Sus scrofa: one gene and its partner. The protein of the gene in region 1 purifies or fractionates together with the protein of each later gene. This does not show direct contact. Links are inferred from orthologs where the notes say so. Each region holds a gene or a part of one and is shown on either strand. Other genes may lie near its edges.

Region 1 (10,307 bases):
ATAACTTGATCAGAAAGATGTAAGGCAGGACTCAGAAATGCAGGTTAAAAGAGCCCTGTATGTATATGTATATATACGTATCACTTTTAATCAACACTACTGAGTTCTTTGCATCTTCCTTTCAATTAGTTTCCGCTGACAAAAATTGAGAAATAACTCTCATTTCCAGAAGAATAACTCATTCTTTCAGCACACTGCAAATAAAGATTATGAATCAACATGTTAAGAAAACATATAAAAGCAATAAGAATATTTAAATCATAGTGAAGATCAGGAAAGACTCCCAAAGAAAGCTATACTCAAAAGCTGGAATTTGAAGGCTAAGAATTAGGTAGATGACAAGAAATAGGAGCCAAAGAGGGGCATGTTTCCCCATTTCAGATGAGATACTTAGAATAAAACCATTAAAATATTCCTCTTTGAATTCCTATAACGTGGCTATTTTTTATATCAAACTCCTAAAATATTTTTATACCTGTATTTTATTTCAATAGCCAAACTATTTCATTTTTGTCTTTTGTCTTTTTAGGTCCTCACCCATGGCATATGGAGGTTCCCAGGCTAGGGGTCAAATCAGCCTACGACACAGCCACAGCACCACCAGATCCGAGTCGAGTCTGCGACCTATACCACAGCTCATGGAAATGCTGGATCCTTAACTCACTGAGCGGGGCCAGGGATTGAACCTGTGTCCTCATGGTTACTAGTCAGATTCATTTCTGCTGAGCCCTCACAACAGGAACTCCAGCTATCTTATATTTTAAAAACTCTTAACTCACCATGCACACACACACAAATTCCATAAGTATTAAAATTCAAATATAACAATTATTAAAGTACCAGAAGAAAACATAAGATTGTTTGTTTTTTAGCTATGCCTGTAGCATGCAGAATATCCCCAGGCTAGGGATCAAACCAGTGCCATAGCAGAGACCCGAGCCACTGCAGTGACAACTCCTTAACCTGCTGAGCCACATGGAAACTCCCAGAAAACTGTTTTTTTTTTTTTTTTAATAAATGCAAAATGGGAAAGATCTTAAACAGAAAACAAAGGATTAATATCTACTATGTGTAAAGGCCTTCTGCAACGTAATTAAGTATAGATTAGTACAGCCTTTTAGGAAGGAAATTTGGCATCTATCAAAACTTAAAATGCACACTTAAGAATCCCCTTTAAGGGAGTTCCCACTGTGGTGACGGAATGGGTGGCATTTCTGGAGTGCTGGGAAACAGGATGCAGGTTCCATCTCCAGCCCAGCACAGTGGGTTAAGGATTCAGAGTTGTCACAGCTGCAACTTTGACCTAATCCCTGGCCTAGGAACTCCACATGCCACAGGGTGGCCAAAAAAAAAAAAAAAAAAAACACCTCTTCATAGAAATACTTGTATACATATGCATGTGCACAAAGGTATAAGGAAGTTCATTAAAGTTGTGGTTTTAGTAGCTCGAAAATGGAAATAACAAATAACCATGAATAATTAAGTACAACCGTATGATGGATAAGGTAAAAAACAAAAAAAAGATGAGGTATAACTACATATACTGAGATGGAAAAGTATTTATAATGATTAGATTTTTCATTAAAAAAAAACAAGGTAAAACTACAAACACACAGTGCTTATTTCTAATTGCATAAAGAAAACAAAATTGTTATCAGTGGGTACCTGTAAGGAATGGGACTAGAAAGCAAGGAAATTAATTAATTTTCACTTTTTACTCTAAATAACTGACTTGAACATTTTGTAAAAAGCATATATTGACTATTTTTAGAATTTAATTTAAAAATAAGGAAAACAACACTATTCTAGTCTGTGGTTATTTCTGGGGGCTGATTTTTGTATAGTAATTCTGTCCTATTTCTTTCTTTCTTTTTTTTTTTTTTTTTTGCTTTTTAGGGCCACACCTGTGGCATATGGAAGTTCCCAGGCTAGGGGTCGAACTGGAGCTATAGCTGCTGGCCTACACCACAGCCATGCCAGATCCCTGACCCACTGAGCGAGGCCAGTGATGGATGCCGCATCCTCATGGATCCTAGTCAGATTCATTACCGCAAAGCCACGATGGGAACTCCCTTATCCTATTTCTTAATAATTTTCACTATTTGCTAAATTTTCTATGAGAAAGACGTTTATTTTAAAATTTGAGAAACATGTATTCAAAAATCTGTATTTTGAAGTTCCCACAGTGATACAGTGGGTTAAGAACCTGATTGCAGCGGCTCGAGTCACTGCGGAGGCAAGGCTTCAATCCCCGGCCCCAGCACAGTGGGTTAAAGGATGCAGTGATCCCACAGCTGCAGCTTGGATTCAAGCCCTAGCCCAGGTACTTCTATAAGCCACAGATGTGACCATTTAAAAAAATAATAATAATCTGCATTTTATTTCAACAGTGAAACTTTTCTTTTTTTCCTGAAAAGTAATTTTTAATGTAAAAGTTATGGTCTCAGAAACTCGGCCCTGAGATTCCAACCACTTTCAGAAAGCAGTCTTTAAGTTTGGAAGTATGATATTTGCTGTAGAAGCAATTAAATATAAAACCTACTTTAGAATGGAATATTAACTAACATCTATTAAGCATTTAAGCATTGCATTTGCTAAGTACTTTCCCTGCATTATATCATTTGCTTTAAATAGCCCTATGGAGATGTATTATACTGTTATTAATCCTCACTTTACATATTAAAAAAACCCCACACATCTTAAAAAAGATGTGTGTATCTTGCCTGGGGTCAAGCAGAAGAGCCAGGATGGTCTCCAGCTCCTAAGCACTTGTGATACACGGAGCGGTAAGTACTAGTGTACCTTAGAGATAATAGGCTAGGCCTCTGAAATCTGGCCTGAATGTTCAGACCGACTATTCTTATTCAGGTTAGTGATCCTAAAATGAAGAAGCAGTGAGACTCAACTCCGTTCCCAGAAGAAAACAAAATTCTTTAAGGCAACAGGGGCTATTTTCTTCCACCTCTTTCTGTTTCTACCAAGGTACAAGAAGGTTATAAGGGTCAACCCAGATCTGCACCTTAACACCCCCTCTCCCCCCTGCCCCGTGGTCTGCAATTAGCCCTCTAACTGGAAGGCCTTTTGAAAACTGATCAGAACCCCAAATTCTTAAAGACTTGAACAAGGCACAGTTTCACGTTTTTAATCAAAACTAGACAATTCAGAAAGCCAAAAGAAATGTTACACTCAAATATTAGGTTAATCAATATTGACAGATTAAACATGGGGAGAATTTAATACCTACTTATTTTATCCCTAGCTGTCTGAACAAGGTCTCTCTTTTAAAATAATTGAAAGTTTATCCTTAGCCACTTGGACAAGTTCTAAGTTTTCTCTTTAAAAAAGTGTAATTGAGAAGACATATATATCACTGATGACCATGTCTACTGGAAATCTGCTTATCATAGAAATGAGAAAACCAAAGAAACCCCTATTCATTTGTTTTGTGGACAGACTCCTACCACAAACTTACTTTATGAATTTGGGTTTCCCAGGTTAGTACTTAATGTCACAAAGCCCCAAAGAATAACCCTCTCTTTGAATAATGGTAAAGTAAACTAGGAATCAAGGCCCCAACCTAAGGGGAGAACACCCAGAACTCTTCCCAAGTAAAAGTATCTGCTTACAGAAAGAACTGGCAGAGAGGCTGACTTCAATGGACCTTGTTTCACACGCCAGCACTTCCATACCTTAACCCCTTAGGCCAACAAGGCACGTCACTGAAGTAAGGACAACAGACACCACCAATTTGACAATAGTGAAGCTTAGGACTAAGTCGTTTAGGTAACAATAAACTAGTGAAAACACAAAATTCACTGAATTTAGGTCAACCTCCTTCACCAAAACCTGAAAGTGGGGTTTAATACCTCCATATATTACAGGTCAGAAACATCTTAAGGTGCATTTTTCATAACGTAAGTCAGTGTTTTGGGCTAATTAATAACCAGAAAGATTTTAAAGCTAAGGATGAAAGGAGTTGCCTTAAATCAATACCCTTAGCAGAAGAACATGAACAAAGCTTTTCATTCACATGCATATTTTTTAAATACACATATATAAAACATGTAGAAGTTATTATAAGTGTGTTTTATAAATGCCGCAGAGCTTCTGGCAAAGTTGACAAGTTCTAACCTGCTTTAAAAATTACTATTCACTGCCTTCATCACAATCTAACTTTATTTAATGTTATTCTTTTGAGTAACCCTACAAAAACAAACCCCCAGAGCAAATTCTTCTACATTTCAATATCCTGCCTACTTACAAGAGCGGAAGAGTCAAACAGAGGAGGGGAAAAAACGTGACGTGCACAACCTTGATCCAAAACACTGCTCGTCGTAGTCTAATTTTAGGCCTAACCATTTTGATTGTCTTTTAACAGAGCTTTAAAAAGAAAACAAAAAACTATAGATCACTTGTAAGACAAAACTGTGATAATTATACCAATGGGAGTTGGCATTATTCATCAAGGAGGAAAGAAATCACGCTCTCACTGTCCAGAGTGTTTCCATTAAAGATAAGAGACAAGGACGGGTACAACCCCACGACAACTGACAACAATGGCAATTGCTTTCCAATCTTCAGTTCTTGGATGACTCTATCTTTAAAGAATTAGTCAAAAAGTTGAGTCCGCTGAGGAATTTTCGGTACCGTTTTGCATGTGTGTGTTATTTTAAAGAAAGCCAAACATGGTGAAAGCTAACCTTCACCTAAGTTACCTAAGGAAGCAAATATTCATCTCCTGGCTGAAGATCAAAGAATCACGAGAAGATACGAAAGCTCAGTTATCAAGCGGAGGCCCTCAAACCCTCGGAAAACTATAGTTTCTACTGATCCGGAATATGGAAGATATCACAGATTACAGTTTAGAAACCAGTAAGGGGACTACAGACAATATGCCTAAGCAATGAAACTGGGATGACCAAAGGTAGCAAGGTGGGGCTGGAACTCGGTAAGAGACAAAAAATCGAGTTAAAAACCCCGAAACGGTGAGTCGAACACTAAAGTAAATGGAGAAAAAGAGAAGGCTGAAACGCGAGGGAAGGGAGATCGACAGAGAGCAGAGATTGGCGCGACACGGTTCAGGGCAGGGCCGGGTCCAGGAAGAGTCAGAACTCACCAGCCTAGCAAGCTTCCCATTTCAGGCTAAAACCGGAGAAGAAAACAGCCCGAGGGCGCAGACAATGAGCCACCGCCCCAAGAGTTGCCGCTCCAGGCACGCAGGTGGCGGCTTCCCGGCCCCGCGCGGGGCAGGTCAGCTGCCCCGGGCCGCTCGCGCCGGCCAGGCCGCGGAGAAGGAAGGAGGAAGGAGAGCGACGGCCCGCGTCCCGGCCTGTCTGCACACTTACCCCAGGCGAGGAAAGGTCCCCGCCCCAGCGAGGAGCCTCCGGCCGAGCTCCTGGCGGGATCAGGAGCCGCCCCGAGCAAGAGAGCGACGCGGGGCGGGGAGGGGAGGGAAGGGGAAGCGGGGCGGGAAGTGGAGCCGCGCTGGAGCGCCGCGGCTTCTACTGCTAGGCCGGGCGGCCGCCGAGCCCCGCGGGCGCCGGGAGGGGAGGGCAGGGAGCCTTCGGCAATGGCGACGGCCCAGGCCAGAGGGGAAGCGGAACAACCGCTGCCGCTGCGCGTGGCCACAACCCTGGGGGAGGGCGACGGCGGGGAGCGGGCAGGGGCGGGGCCGAAGGCGGGAGCTCCACCGGGCGGAGACAGGCACCGCCTCCCAGTGGGCAGGCAAACGCGGAGGCTGCTGGGAGTTGTAGTTTAGAGATGTGTGCCTCTTATCTCTCTTCTTTTCCTCCCTCCCTCCATCTCTAGTATTCTTTTTATTGACAGAGACAGCCAGTGCCTCGTGTAATTCAGCATTGTCTCCACTCAGGTCTGTGCCAACCAAAGACGCTGAAAGACAACTGTTATTATATGAACCTGCTCTAAGACATTTGTTTCTGGGAATTCATCCGTTACCCATTTTGCCCTTTACCTACAACTCTTATTAATGTATTTTGGTGCTAAATTAAGTCGCGCCTCCTTGCAAATTAATGCCTCTGTTTTATTCATGGAGGAGGAGGAGTTCATCAATGTGTTCACTAATTCTACAAATATTTTGGTGTCTAATTTGTACCAGACACTGCTGGGTATCAGGAATACAAGGGTGAACACAAGTCACTTTGTGTAACTTACAAATATGAAAACACAATAATTAAAATAGTGATACCTGGTATGAAGAAAAAACTAGGATGATTTCTTTGGATAAGTTGGCCAGAGAAGGCATCTTTAAGGAGGTGACATTTAAGCTGAGAACAGAAAGAGACAGCCATGAGAAACTCCCAGGAGAAAGCATTACAAGCAGAAGGAGGTGGGGGGGGACTTTCTAAGGTCAGTTAAGAGGGTCTGTGTAACTGGAGTTAGTGCAAGAAGAGTAGCGCAGTGTGAAAAAACACCTGAGGAGACAAGATTCAGGTCAGAGAGGATCCTGAATGACATGGTAAGAAGGCTGGATTTTATTCCAACAAGCTATTAAAGAGCTGTAAGCAGGGAAGGAAGGTTTCCTGGTTTATACTTTAAGGTCACTAGATTGCTACATGGAGAATGGACTCTGGGTTTTCAAGAATAGAAGGGAATGAAGAAAGGAGGCAGTAATCATGACTGTCATAAGAGATAGCAGTGAAAATGGAGAATGGGTATGTTCTTTTGATAGATGTGAAGCAAAAAACTCAACTGATGTGGAAAGTACGAGAGAAAAGATTCAAGGAGCAATATGGCACACTATTAGATAACTTGAAAAACAGCCCCCACTATTAAAAACACATTGCTGGATAAAAGAGAACATCCTTTCAAAGGCATAACTAAGCTTTTAAGAAAGAGAAGTACCTCTGACAGATTTCCAAACTCCCACTCAACCCAAAGGGAGAGCAAGAAATTGGAGGGGTAAGCATGTCAGTGAAGCCAAAGTTGTGTTGAAAGAAACTACTTATCTCAAATCTCCATGGTTTTACTGACTGCACAAGAGACAAGAGACCAAAGACAAGGCCTTGGCCCTGTTCAAGGAGTTGGGACTGCAATCCTGCACAAGGCTGGAAAACTCAAAGGGCTATATGCTCCAAGAATAGACTGGAAGGGAGTTCCCGTCGTGGCTCAGTGGTTGGCGAATCCGACTAGGAACCATGAGGTTGTGGGATCAATCCGTGGCCTTATTCAGTTGGTTAAGGATCTGGCGTTGCTGTGAGCTGTGGTGTAGGTTGCAGACGCGGCTCGGATCCCGTGTTGCTGTGGCTGTGGCATAGGCCAGCGGCTACAGCTCCAATTTGACCCCTAGCTGAGAACCTCCATATGCCGAGGGAACAGCCCTAGAAAAGTCAAAAAGACAATAAATAAAAATAAATAAATAAATAAGAATAGACTGGAAAAAAAAAAAAATCCCCTGTACCAGTCCAGGGAGACATGCAGATATCTGTGTGTTTTAGTCTGGACTTGGCATCAAAGGGAAAAAAAAAATTACCCTTTGGAATTCAAATTTGAAAGGTCAAATTTACAGTACCTACACTGTCTGGGAAACCTCAAGTCAAGAAAGTGTCCCAGGCTGGTAATGCTGAGAGGTCTGGAAGAAACAAATACAAATTCTCACTGCACAGGCTCATTCTTAATCCAGAACTGAAAGGATTCCCAGAGATAAACAGGCTATCAAGAGTTAGACATAAGGAGTTTCTGCTGTGGCACAGTGAGTTAAAGATCCACCATTGCTACAGCTATGGCATAGGTCACAACTGTGGCTCAGATTTGATCCCTGGCCCAGGAACTTCCGTAATCCATGGGTGTGGCCAAAAAAGAAAAAAAGAAAAAGTTAAACATGAACATCCAAAAAATAATGACAACACATCTGAGAAAATCAGCCATGAGTGAATCAAAAGAAACCATAAACAGAATAATGACACCCATGAACTTTAGATAGTTTATATTCCATAACCTATAATTCCAATGTTTCTTAAAATGATTAAGCAAAGTAAGACAGGAATAAGAAACAAGACATTTTCTTTTTTTTTTCTTTTTATTTATTTTTTTACAAGACACTTTTTTTTAGGGCTAAACCCACGGCATATGGAGGTTCCCAGGCTAGGAGTCAAATCGGAGCTGCAGCTGCTGGCCTACACCACAGCCACAGCAACACCAGATCTGAGCCACATCTGTGACATACACCACAGATCACAGCAACGCTGGATTTAACCCCCTGAGCGAGGCCAGGGATCAAACCTGTGTCCTCATGGATACTAGTCAGATTTGCTTCCGCTGAGCCACAGCAGGAACTCTGAAAGCAAGACACTATTTTTTTAAATGACAAAAGAGCTTTGAAAAGGAGCCAAGCAGAACTTCGAGAAATAAAGAATATAATAACTGAAACCAAGGTCAATGTTTGGGTTAAGTGGCAGATTACATACAGTTGAAGAGAGAATTAGTAAAATGGAAGCTAGATCTAAAGAAATTATTGATAGCAGCCCAGAGACAAAGGAAATATGAAAGAAAGATTGAGAGGTGGGTTAGATTGTGAAGGTATTCCATCATTCCTAATGAGAAACCCAAGTAAGAGAGAAAAGGAAAATCAAAAGAGGTAGTTTATGGTGAGATAATGGCAGAGAATTTTCCAGAATTAATTTAAGGCAAGAACCTTCAGATTCAAAAGGCAAAGTGAATCTCAACCAGGATAAGTGAAGGAAATCTTTTCAAATACAACAAAGTGAAACTGCAGGATACCAAAGATAAAGAAACAAGAAAGAAAAGACATCTCTTACCAGGAAACAACTATTAAATTTAGCATAGATTTCTCAACTGCAACAATGGGTACCATCTGACAATGGAAAAATATTTTTAAACTATCAAGAGAAAATAAACTTAGAACTATATACCTCACTAAACTATCAGTCATAGAAGTGAGGGTGAAATAAAGATATCATCAAACAAAAGCAGAGATGTTACTAACCACAGGGAGTTACTGAAGGGGCATCTATAAAAGATATACTTCAGGAAGACGGTAATCCCAGAAGTAATGTCTGAGGGGCAAGAAATCAGAGAGATGGCTAAACCTACCATCCTATCACTGACTAGGACAATCCTGAAGAGCATACTTACTCTACATTATTTCATTCTCTCAACTTACCCAAATCCTATATTCAATTACCTGCCAGTAGTATGTTTTATAAGTTTGGGGGAGGTCACAGAGAGGTCACCTCACCATAAATTCTTTGATTCCATATCATAGCAATTAGCATCAATCATCAAAATATAAATGAGTGTCATGAAATGAATAGACTATCTGACTAGAATAATCCTTGAATTCATTATATTCTGAAATAATTAGAGCAGAAATATACATTCCCAGTTCCCAAGCCATACATGTACTATCCTCTATTAGATGTAGCTAAATAATCTAAGTTTCTGGTAAATGACTGAGATACACACACACACAACAAAGTCTGCCCCCACCACCACCCTTAGTTGAAGGAGCATATGTCTCTGTTATTTTCATCCAAAGAACATTACATGATACTTTGAGAAAAATAAACCATAAAAGTTGAAAAAAATACTGGAACACAATGACCAGGAAAGAACAGTACCCATTTTTTCTTGGCTATAAACAAAAAGAGACCACACACAGAATTCCAAAACTGATTTTTAAAAACTAAAGTGCTTATTCATTTTTTTTCTTTTTTGGTCATGGTATATGGAGTTTCCAGGCCAGGGATCAGATCTGAGCTGCAATTGCAACCTAAGCCACAGCTTCGGTAATGCCAGATCCTCAACCAACTGTGCCTGGCTGGGTATCGAACCTGCATCTCAGTGCTTCCAAGAAATCGCCAATCTGTTGTGCCACAGTGTGAACTCCAAAAGTGCTTATTCATTTTTTAAGTATCCAAAGAAGATAATATAAAGAGTTCAAAACCAGAAATGTTCTATTATATCAAAAGTGATGTCATCTGCAACCATTTATCAGGCAAGAAAAATCCTATCAAAGTATCTTCACTCACAATGAGATCTTTATTACACTTCTGAATACCTATATAAATGAGTCAATGGCTGAATCATCTGATAATTAGTTTCAAATTAGTTTCAAATACTAATTTGGAAACCTTTAAATACAGATAAAAGCAGGAGTTCCCATCGTGGCTCAGTGGTTGGTAAATCTGACTGGGAACCATGAGGTTTCGGGTTCAATCCTGGCCTTGCTCAGTGGGTTGAGGATCTGGCATTGCCGTGAGCTGTGGTGTAGGTCACAGAGTGGCTCGGATCCCCCGTTGCTGTGGCTGTGGCGTAGGCTGTGGCGTAGC
Region 2 (10,269 bases), on another chromosome or scaffold:
CACCACGGCCACAGCAACGCCAGATCCTTAACAAACTGAAGGAGGCCAGGGATGAAACCTGTGTCCTCATGGGTACTAGTCAGATTCGTTTCTGCTGATCCATGATGGGAACTCCTGGTGGTTCTATTTTTAGTTTTTGAGAAAGCTCTGTACTGTTTTCTACAGGGGCTACACTAATTTACATTCCCACCAACAGTGTACAGGGTTCCCTCTTCTCCACATGCTCACCATTTGTTATTTGTGTTCTTTTTGATGAGAATCATTTTGCCAGGTGGGAGGTGATATCTCATTATGGTTTTGATATGCATTTCCCTGATGATTAACAAAGCTAAGCATCTTTTCATGTGCCTGTTGGCCATCTGCATTTCCTCTTTAGAAAAATGTCTATTCAGTTCTGCCCATTTTTTAATCAGTTTGGTCTTTTTGATGTTCAGTTGTATGAGATGTTTATACATGTTGAATATTAATTCCCTATCAGTCATATCTTTTGCAAATATGTGTCCTGTTCAATAGATTGTCTTTTCATTCTGTTGATTGTTTCCTTTACTGTGCAAAAGCTTTTCAGTTTAAGTAGGTCCCATTTGTTCATTTTTGCTTTCATTTCCTTTAGGAGACAGATCCAAAAAAATGTTGCTGCAATTTATGTCGGAGTGTCCTGTCTATTTTTCCTCTAGGAGTTTCATACTATCTTGTCTTACATCTTACATTTAGGTCTTTAATCCATTTTGCGTTTTTTGTGTGTGTGTGGGTGTGTTTGCCATGCCCACAGCATGTGGAAGTTCCCTGACCAGGGATCAAACTCACACCACAGCAGCAACTGGAGCTGCTGCAGTGACAATGCCAGATACTTACTCCGCTGTACCACAAGGTAATTCCCAGTTTATTTTTGTAGATGGCGTTAGAGAATGTTCTAATTTTATTATTTTACATGTAGCTGTCCAGTTTTCCTAGCACCACTCTTTTTTTTTTTTTTTTTTTTTTTTTTTTTTTTTTTTCCGGCTGCTCCCTCAGCATGTGGAAGCTCCTGAGCCAGGGATCGAACTTGCACCAAGAAGAGACCCAAGCCACTGCAGTGACAATGCCAGATCTTTAGCCCACTGCAACACAGTGGGAATTCCTCCTAGCATCATTTATTGAAGAGACTATCTTTTCTTCATTGTATAGTCTTGCCTCTCTTTTTTTTTTAGGGCCGTACCCATGGCAAATGTAAGTTCCCAGGCCAGGGGTCAAATCAGAGCTACAGCTGCAGGCCTACACCACAGCCACAGCAATACAGGATCTAAGCCGCATCTTCGACTTACACCACAGCTCACGGCAATGCCAGATCCTTAACCCACTGGGCGAGGCCAGGGATCAAACCCACAACCTCATGGTTCCTGATCAGATTCATTTCCACTGTGCCATGATGGGAACTTCCGTAGCTCCTTGATTCAATGAAGAACCAAGTAAACTTACATCTGCTCACCAGCCTGAACTTTCTGCACAGCTGTCTACTAGATCATATAGCTAGGCAAAGTTATTTAATGCATTCTGAAAGCATCCTCTGCCTTCCCTGCTTGTGAATAGCCAGCTTTTCAGATGCCTACAACAACAGCTGTTCAAGAATTCAGGCTTAATCCATTCTCCACAGGTGTTGAGTCCAGAAGATTTGAGAATACATGAAGCAAAACAGGATGTAGAAGCATCAGGATGGCATCCAGAGGCTTTAGCTATGGAATGTGTGGGAAATATATGTTAATGCACACACCACTCATTTATAAAAATGGAGAAATGAAACAAAGACCCATGCTTTTGACATCTCCTTCAGGACTTCCTAACCTTTAAGAAGATTTATGCAATTTAATCTTTCTCTTCATTGTCTCATGCTTATCTAATCTCTCTTAATTCATTAGTTGGAGAACTTCACAATGGCTGTTCACCAGAGTACCTAAAGTCAAAATAATACCTGGCCCGGGAGTTCCCCATGTGGCTCAGTGGTTAACGAATCCGACTAGGAACCATGAGGTTGTGGGTTTGATCCCTGGCCTTGCTCAGTGGGTTAAGGATCCAGCGTTGCTGTGAGCTGTGGTGTAGGTCGCAGACCCAGCTTGGATCCCGTGTTGCTATAGCTCTGGTATAGGCTGGCGGCTACGTCTCCGATTAGACTCCTAGCCTGGGAAGCTCCAAATGCCACAGGAGCGGCCCTAGAAAACACAAAAAGACAAAAAAAAAAAAAAAAAAAAAAAAAAAAGACCTGGCATTGCCTTGAGCTGCGGTGTAGGTCACAGACTCGGCTCAGATCCCGAGGTGCTGTGTAGGCTGGCAGCTACAGCTCTGATTAGACCCCTAGCTTGGGAACCTCCATATGCTGTGGGTGGGGCCCTAGAAAAAGGCAAAAAGGCAAAAATAAATAAATAAAAATAAATTAAAAAAAACAAAGCAAAACAAATACCTGGCCCATGATAGGCATCGAACATTTGCTGAATGGAGATCATAGTTGGGTTTACATATAATACACAAAATATTCATTAGCATTAGGGTCACACCTCTGCTCTCTATCACACTGATTAAACTCACTTCATTGCGTTTATCTCATACCATCCTGTATATTAGGTTATCTATCGTTATCCTCAAAATTGTGATTAAGAAATAATAGTAATATCAAATTCCAATAATAACAGAGGCTACTTTTTTTTTGCTTTTTGCTATTTCTTGGGCCGCTCCCGCAGCATATGGAGGTTCCCACGCTAGGGGTCTAGTTGGAGCTGCGCCACCGGCCTACGCCAGAGCCACAGCAACGTGGGATCCGAGCCGAGTCTGCAACCTACACCACAGCTCACAGCAACGCCGGATCGTGAACCCACTGAGCAAGGGCAGGGACTGAACCTGCAACCTCATGGTTCCTAGTCGGATTCGTTAACCATTGCGCCACGACGGGAACTTCAAGAGGCTACTATTAATGAGGGTTCACTCTGAGGCAAGCATACCACACTCTTCTGTGAATTATTCCATTTGTTCTTAGCCAGACAGTAAATATTTAGCTATACGTTTCATATATGAGTTTTGTTAAATATTCATCCTTTCCCTCTTCTCCTTCCTCTTTACAATCCTTCAAAAATGTAAAAATTAGGAGTTCCCTGTGTCGTGCAGTGGAAAGGAATCCAACCAGTAAACCTGAGGATGCAGGTCTGATCTCTGGCCTCGCTTAGTGGGTCCGGGATCTGGTGTTGCTGTGGGCTAGTGGGTAGGTCACAGGTGCAGCTGGGATCCCGCATTGCTATGGCTGTGGTGTAGGCTGACAGCTGTAGCTCCAATTTACCCCTAACCTGGGAACCTCCATATGGCCTAAAAAACAACAAAACAAGTAAAAATTAAGAGTTGATGGCCGAGCAATTAAGGACTCAGTTGTCACTGCTGTGGCTCGATTATTGCTATGGCTCCAGTTCCATCCCGGCCCTGAAACTTCCACATGCCAAAACACAACAAAAACAAAAAAATAAAACTATGAAAATCATTTTTAGGTGCAAGCCATACAAAAGAAAATTGTAGGCTAGCGGTAGATACACATTATCTTCCTCTAGCAGATTATATTAAAACTGCAGCATAAGGAAACACATAATATACCCTTATTTTACTTATTGTAGATCTAGCACAATTGAATGTTAGCTCCATAAAGACAGGAAATTTTGTCCTCTTGGCTCACTACTCTTTCTTCACTGCTTGGAACACTGTGTGTAATTTGCTGAATAAAGGAAAGAATATATAAATGAACTTGGCCAAAGTTATGCGAAATGACTTGACTACTGATTACCTCAGGCAGGTTGCAGCTGCAGACTTCTGGTTACTAGATTTGGTATTAATCAGTGCTGGGAAGAAGCGAATTTCTTCTGGAGAGGGAGACAAATTACAGAAAATTTGGAAGCAGGACGGAAGATCCTTGCCCTCACTCAATATGGCGACAGGGCAGCGTGCCCTTTCCGGTCACATGATCTGCCTATTGCCAAAGGGTGCCTCCCCGCGCGTGCGTGCTGGGCCGCGGCTGCGAGGCGCTCAGGGAGAGGCGCTGCCGCCAGCGCCGCCGCTGGGACCCGTTAGAGCGGAAGCGCCTCCGCCGCCGCCGCCGCCGCCGCCGCCTTCGCTGTCTCGGGGCCCCAGGTTCCCGGCAGGTGGGAGGCGGGAGCCATGTCGAAGCGGCTCCGGAGCAGCGAAGTGTGCGCTGACTGCAGCGGGCCAGGTGAGTCTCATCAGCCGGGCCCGCTCCCCTCAGCTCTCCTGGCCAGGACCCCTGCCCCGGGGCCGCCCCTCGAGCCGGGCGGGTCCCGGCAGTCGACCTCTGCATCCCATGCCTGGGGTCACGACGAGGAGGAAGGGGGGCGGTCTTGGGGCAGAACCTGCCCCTGGCCTGTCAGAGCCGGGCGGGCAGGGGGCCGCCGCCCTCCCGCCCCTCCTTTCCCTTTCGTTCACTCTGTCCCAGGCCGTCCGGGGAGGCGGTGGGGTCGGAGCCGCTTTCCTAACAGGAAGGGGCTTGGGCAATCCACAGGAAGGCCAATTACAGAAGTAAAATGCGAGCGTCTTCCCGGCTGCGGCCCCCAGAGACTGCAGGTGTCACCACCCCCTTCCCACAGTCACCCAAGACCCCCGTCCCCGGAGGCGCCCTGCTGGTAGTGGGCGACGCTCACCCCTTCCCTCCACTGAGACTCGCCAGAGGACCCCCATGGACGATTTCGCCATTTCTGGCATCCCGACTCCCGCTCCACGGCAGAGAGTCTCCAGGATGTCGGGGTCTTGCAAACGCCACCTGCACTTGGGAGGCAATGCTTGGCTCAGGTTCTGAGATCTGAACCGTCTGAGTTCAAACTAGATGTTCCCTCTGGGTGACCTTGGGCTGGTGACTTCATTTGGCCGAGTCTTCATTTCCTCATTTTTCCGATGGGGATAATGGGGAGTATGGTGCTTAGCGGTAGGGAAGATTCAGTGAATATTCTTAGCATCATCTCATTTAAATTTTTTTCCCCTATTGTGTACAGAACCTTTACAGTCCCTTAAAACTATAGTTGAATTTCTAAATCATGCATTAATTACAGCTTACAAAACCAACACACACCACATCACTGACAAGTAGACCCATTTGGGCATTTAGGCAATATAGGCATATGGCAGCACTGAAAGGCCAAAACTAAACCTCCCATGTGTAGTTTTCGTCTTAGCAGTTGGAACTGAGTTGACAGGTCTCTGTACTGTTCTCAGTGCTTGTATTTTTCTGCTTTGAATTTGAAGTAATTCAAAAGGTAAAATGGCACCACAGCATCCAGTAAACAATCTTAATGAAACCATTGCGCACCAGTGTTTTTGCGACTGTTCCAAACTTTGTCTTGTCAGATGGAAGTGGAGACTGATTTTTAAATAGTACTATGATAATTCAAACCTTATGTGGTTATTTCATGGCCTCTATAATGTAAGTGGGGTTACCGGTTTCCTTTGAAGATAGGGAGACGGGTGGAGGAGTTTAAAAAGAGGTGTTTTAGAAACCAAGTTAATGTGTTATACAAACTCCATCGTATTCTCTAAAAATGTTATTTGTTCCACTTCCTTATTTTCTTGCCTCTTTTCGGTTGAACCTTCTGTGATGTTTGATTCTTATGAGTCTAGATTCAAACTTCCTCTTGAAATGCATTTTCTGTGCTTCTCAGTGGGTGGTATGAGGCAAAGGAAAAACTGCAGCTCCCTTGCTACACTAAACACTATCTTGCACCTCTGCAGCATTTTGTGCATTTCAGAACATTTTCTCTTCCATTGTTTCATTTTAGTTGTTGTCTCATATGCCTAATCTACAGAGACTTGAGTCACTTCCTTCCTGTTTTGAATATAATTAGGCTACCTTGAAATGTTCTGAACTTGAGCAGCCAGGAATTTGTGCTGTCTTTTCTGCAAAGCCCTATGAAAGTTACCTTTAGGGTTAGGGACCCCTTTGAGATTCTGATGAATGCTAAGGCCTTCTTGCCAGAAAATGCACACATAATTACTCTTTCACAGAGAATTTATGTTACGATTTTTCAGTGGAATCATAGACGTTTCTGAAGCCCATTTGTTGTCTTCTTAGAAGCCAGGTTAAGAAGCCATAGCATAAACCGTTCAGATAGACTGGAAGGGGTTCACCCAGCCTCTTGCATACAAACTCAGTTTGGATTTTACTGTGTTGTTAACATGGGATTCTGATTCATGACGTTAAGGTGATTAATAGGGAAACTTTCTTAATGTGTGTTAAATCCTTGCTGTTTTGTACCTGTTTAATTTCCTCCAAAGGAGATTGTGAATCTTCAGAATGATATGTGAAAATCAAAGCTAATCTTCAAAACAAATAGTCTTTTTGTATGTGTGTCATTAGTAGTAGTACCATACTGCAAAAAGCATTGTTCTAGGAGTTCCCTTCATGGCGCAGCAGAAATGAATCCGACTAGGAACCATGAGGTTGCAGGTTTGATCCCTGGCCTCTCTCAGTGGGTTAAGGATCTGGTGTTGCCAAGAGCTGTGGTGTAGGTGGAAGACGAGGCTCAGATCTGGCATTGCTGTGGCTGTGGTATTGGCCAGCAGCTGTAGCTGCAATTAGACCCCTAGCCTGGGAACCTCCGTCTGCTGCGGGTGTGGCCCTAAAAAAAGACAAAACAAAACAAACAAACAAAAGCATTGTTCTGTATCTTTGTAGGGATCCTTCATCTTGATGTTTCCACCCTTTGCCTTTTTTTTGGATGCACTGGTGCCATGTGGAAGTTCCAGGGCCAGGGATGGAATCTATACCACAGCAGCAACCCAGGCCGCTGCAGTGACAATACCTATCCTTAACCCACTGAGCCACAAGTGACTCCCCAATCTTTGCTTTTTAGAATGGCAGACAGAGTTGTACCTCACTGAATAATTTTGTTTCTGTCTTATTTCATGGCAAACATTTGATAACCATGATCAAATCTTAATAACTAGTTTTACCTTTAAAAAAAATGAATCTAGTTCATATCCTTCTGTGAGTTCAACTACCTGAAAATTCCCCTGAGATTTTTCACTATAGTAATACAGTATTTGTGTGAAACAGTCAGTGTTTTAAGTATTAACAGTCAAAACCTTTTTCCAATGGTCATGAATTTCGTTGGCTTTTGAAAATATTTGAATGGTACTTACCAAAATGATTTAGAAACGTTGTAACAGCTACCATTACGGAGTACTTCCTATATGCAAGGAATTTTGCTTGTTCTTTATATCCTCACTACCCTGGATTGTGTTGTTCCTCCAATTTGATCCATAATGAGGACTCTCAAAAAGAAATAACTTGCCTGAGATCATTGTGCAAGAAGTGGCAGAGTTGGGGTTCAAACCCTGGACTGCTTGTCTCCAGAGCCATCCCTCTTAACCACTACACTCTCTGACTCCTGATTTGTCTTTGATTGAAATCCCATAACTTTTCATTTTATGGCTAGAAAGGGTTTGAATAAACTGTTAAAAATGGTAAAGATGGTGTACATGCATTTTCGAGATTTTTGTGGACATTGAAGAATTTTTAAATATAACCCTTAAGCCAGGCAGCTTGAGCGGCAACTATTGTCACTCCATTGTGAGTCTGATGAAATGTAGAAGGTCTGTCTTTATTTTGAATTTCTAAGTGTCTAGTTTACTTCCCCAGTGTGAATTATTCATACTGCTTACCAAGTGTGAATTATTCCTTGTTTCAAAGGATGTCTAATGAAGCTCTGTAGGACTTCATAGGAAAAAAGTATTATATGCACACCAAAAGTATTACTCTAGGGAGGTCCCTGGTGGCTCAGCAAGTTAAAGATCTGGCATTTTCACTGCTATGGTGTGGGTTCTATCCCTGGCCTGGGAACATTTGCATGCCTTGAGCGAGGCCAGAAAAAAAAATCACTCATTTGTATTTTACATCTTTGCCTCTGTGAGGCTGCTGTTTTTACAACTTCTGTTACTTCAGATCAGCTGTGAGATCGGACTCAGTAGTTTATTTACAACTACTAATGGATATCATAGCACATTTCTTACGGAGGAGTCTAGGTTTCTTAGTCTGTCTTCAGAACCACAGCAGTTGAACAGTTTTATAGTCATGTATGCTTGCAGCTTTCTGCTAAGCCCAGAGGCAGGTAGATATGTAGCATGTGTTAGGGTAGCCATCTTTTTACTGCTCTCTTCACATGTCGCTCTGCGGATTGTCACTGACACAGGTATGTTATCTTGCCATTTGTGGAGATGGATTCAAAATGATTCATGTGAATGCTCTCAACTTGCTTCTTTTACACTGAATGAAAGAGCACACATCTGTGATGATAGATCATATTAGGGTGTCAGATTGTGGCCTTGAACCAGAGAGGAGAGAAGTGCTTATTTAGGGCTGTAATCAGGTTTTCAGTCTCAGTAGATTTGTGCCCCCAGCCAAGGCAGGGGTTATCTTCAGACAGGCTCACCAGCTTGATATGCTGACTAGCATACTAAAACAACAAAGATGTCCTGTTTTTCTGAAAAACCAAATCTCAGTCATCTTTTGCCATCTGGCGGTATAGCAACCACTTGGTATCCTTGCCACTGATTTCATTCTTCTTTCCAGATCCTTCCTGGGCATCAGTAAATAGGGGAACTTTTATATGTGACGAGTGCTGCAGTGTCCATCGGAGTCTAGGGCGCCATATCTCTCAAGTAAGGCATCTCAAACACACACCATGGCCTCCAACATTGCTTCAGGTAAAGAATAAGAATTCTTCTCATGTTTGTAATTTACATCTTTAGGGCTCAATGTTTTAGCAACTAAAATTATACTTCTAAATCATAATTGAATAGAAGTGCCATGCTTATCAATGCTATATACAAGTATTAAATTCATCATTTAAGATTCTTTTTCCCCTCCTAATGTAAATCTTGTCCCAAAAACTCAGTTACAGGCAGTCATTAAAATTTCTTGCTTATGTTTCATTGCTGACTTTCTAAAATGTCACCAGAAGTTGTTTTTAAAGCCCATCTTTTCCACGTACCATGATCAATGTTTCTTAAAGTGACTGCCCTTTGAAACTTTTCATTGTTTCCTGCTTTGATGGAAGCATGGACTGGGATTCCTCAGAAATTTCTGAAACATCTGATTTAGGTTTTCTTAAAGTTCTTATAACTAGTTAGAGACAATTAAGTTATGTCTGGATTGAATGTCTAACACCCTGCTAAGTGTTAAGTGGGCTCTTTGTTTTATTTGGGGGTCCATTGTCATGTCACCTGTACTTCTATTTTGGGGTACACATTCTTCAAGTTCTGTTGGAACTCAGACTTAAGCATGTGTTTCGCCTTCATTTGTCTTGAGGACATATTTTACTGAATCTGTGGCAGCTGCACAACACATCCCTTAAACTTCCCTATATGAACCAAAGGATCGGAGCAAGTGAGCTTGGATCTCTGATGTGACAGATATCTCCGCTAATGTAAAAAACGAGGAGTAATGTCAGGAGTCATGCTTTGAATTGAAACTGGGCGATACGGCTTATTAATAACTTTTGCTAAGAAGTTTCTAACAGCTCATTCTCATGTGAAAATGGATGTTTACTGCTCCCAGATTATACAGAGTACAGATTATATTATAGATCTGAATAAAATCCAGAAATGAGTAGTTTAAAATGCCAGAGTTGGAGCTCCTGCTGTGGTGCATTGGAATAGGCAGCAGCTTGGGACTGCTGGGACTCAGGTCCAAGCCCGGCACAGTGGGTTAAGGAACTGGCATTGCCACAGCTGCAGCTTAGTTTGCTGCTGTGGGTTAGATCTGATCCCTGGCCTGGGAGCTCCCTATGTCAAGGGGAGGCCAAAAAAAAAAAAAAAAAAAAAGCCAGAGTTGACCCTAAAGCAGTTCCCAGAAGGTGGCATGTGAACACCAGTGTTACTCAAGTTAGATGTAGGTAATACTCAAATATGTATTTTAATGGTTGCATAAAACTATAACTAGCACATCAAAGTATAATTGCTAGGGAAAGTTTTAGAAAGTAAGTGGGTTTAAAGAAAAATAATAAGTGGATAGTCTAGATGGTACCTAGGTTTTTAAGTAGCTTGAAAACAGTATTTGAGTGCTCAGGCTTGGGAAATACTGCCCTAATATGTCAAAGTACTCTTTTTTCATCATCTATGAGAAAACATAATCAAACCTCTATAAGTATTTAGCTGTCCTACTGGTCAAACCTGAATCCTGCATACAGGTTCATCTTTCTCATTCTAAATTCAGAAAATACTAATGTGCGTGATATCCCAGTCATGCTGTTGTTTGTAATG

The links. Proteins that work in one complex are often made in the same cells at the same time.
Region 2: the proteins of PAK2 (region 1) and GIT2 purify together in Homo sapiens (affinity purification with mass spectrometry; 3 studies listed by BioGRID and IntAct, with this or other methods). This does not show direct contact. The link is inferred for Sus scrofa from reciprocal best matches to the Homo sapiens genes PAK2 and GIT2.

What each region holds. Positions count from the first base shown.
Region 1 is NC_010455.5:133,377,819-133,388,125, forward strand, and holds the start of PAK2 (serine/threonine-protein kinase PAK 2), read right to left. Parts: upstream 5,689-10,307; 5' UTR 5,346-5,688; exon of another isoform or gene 5,117-5,345; intron 1-5,116. UniProt on the Homo sapiens protein: Serine/threonine protein kinase that plays a role in a variety of different signaling pathways including cytoskeleton regulation, cell motility, cell cycle progression, apoptosis or proliferation.
Region 2 is NC_010456.5:40,991,982-41,002,250, forward strand, and holds the start of GIT2 (ARF GTPase-activating protein GIT2), read left to right. Parts: upstream 1-4,008; 5' UTR 4,009-4,161; coding exon 4,162-4,213; intron 4,214-8,578; coding exon 8,579-8,712; intron 8,713-10,269. UniProt on the Homo sapiens protein: GTPase-activating protein for ADP ribosylation factor family members, including ARF1.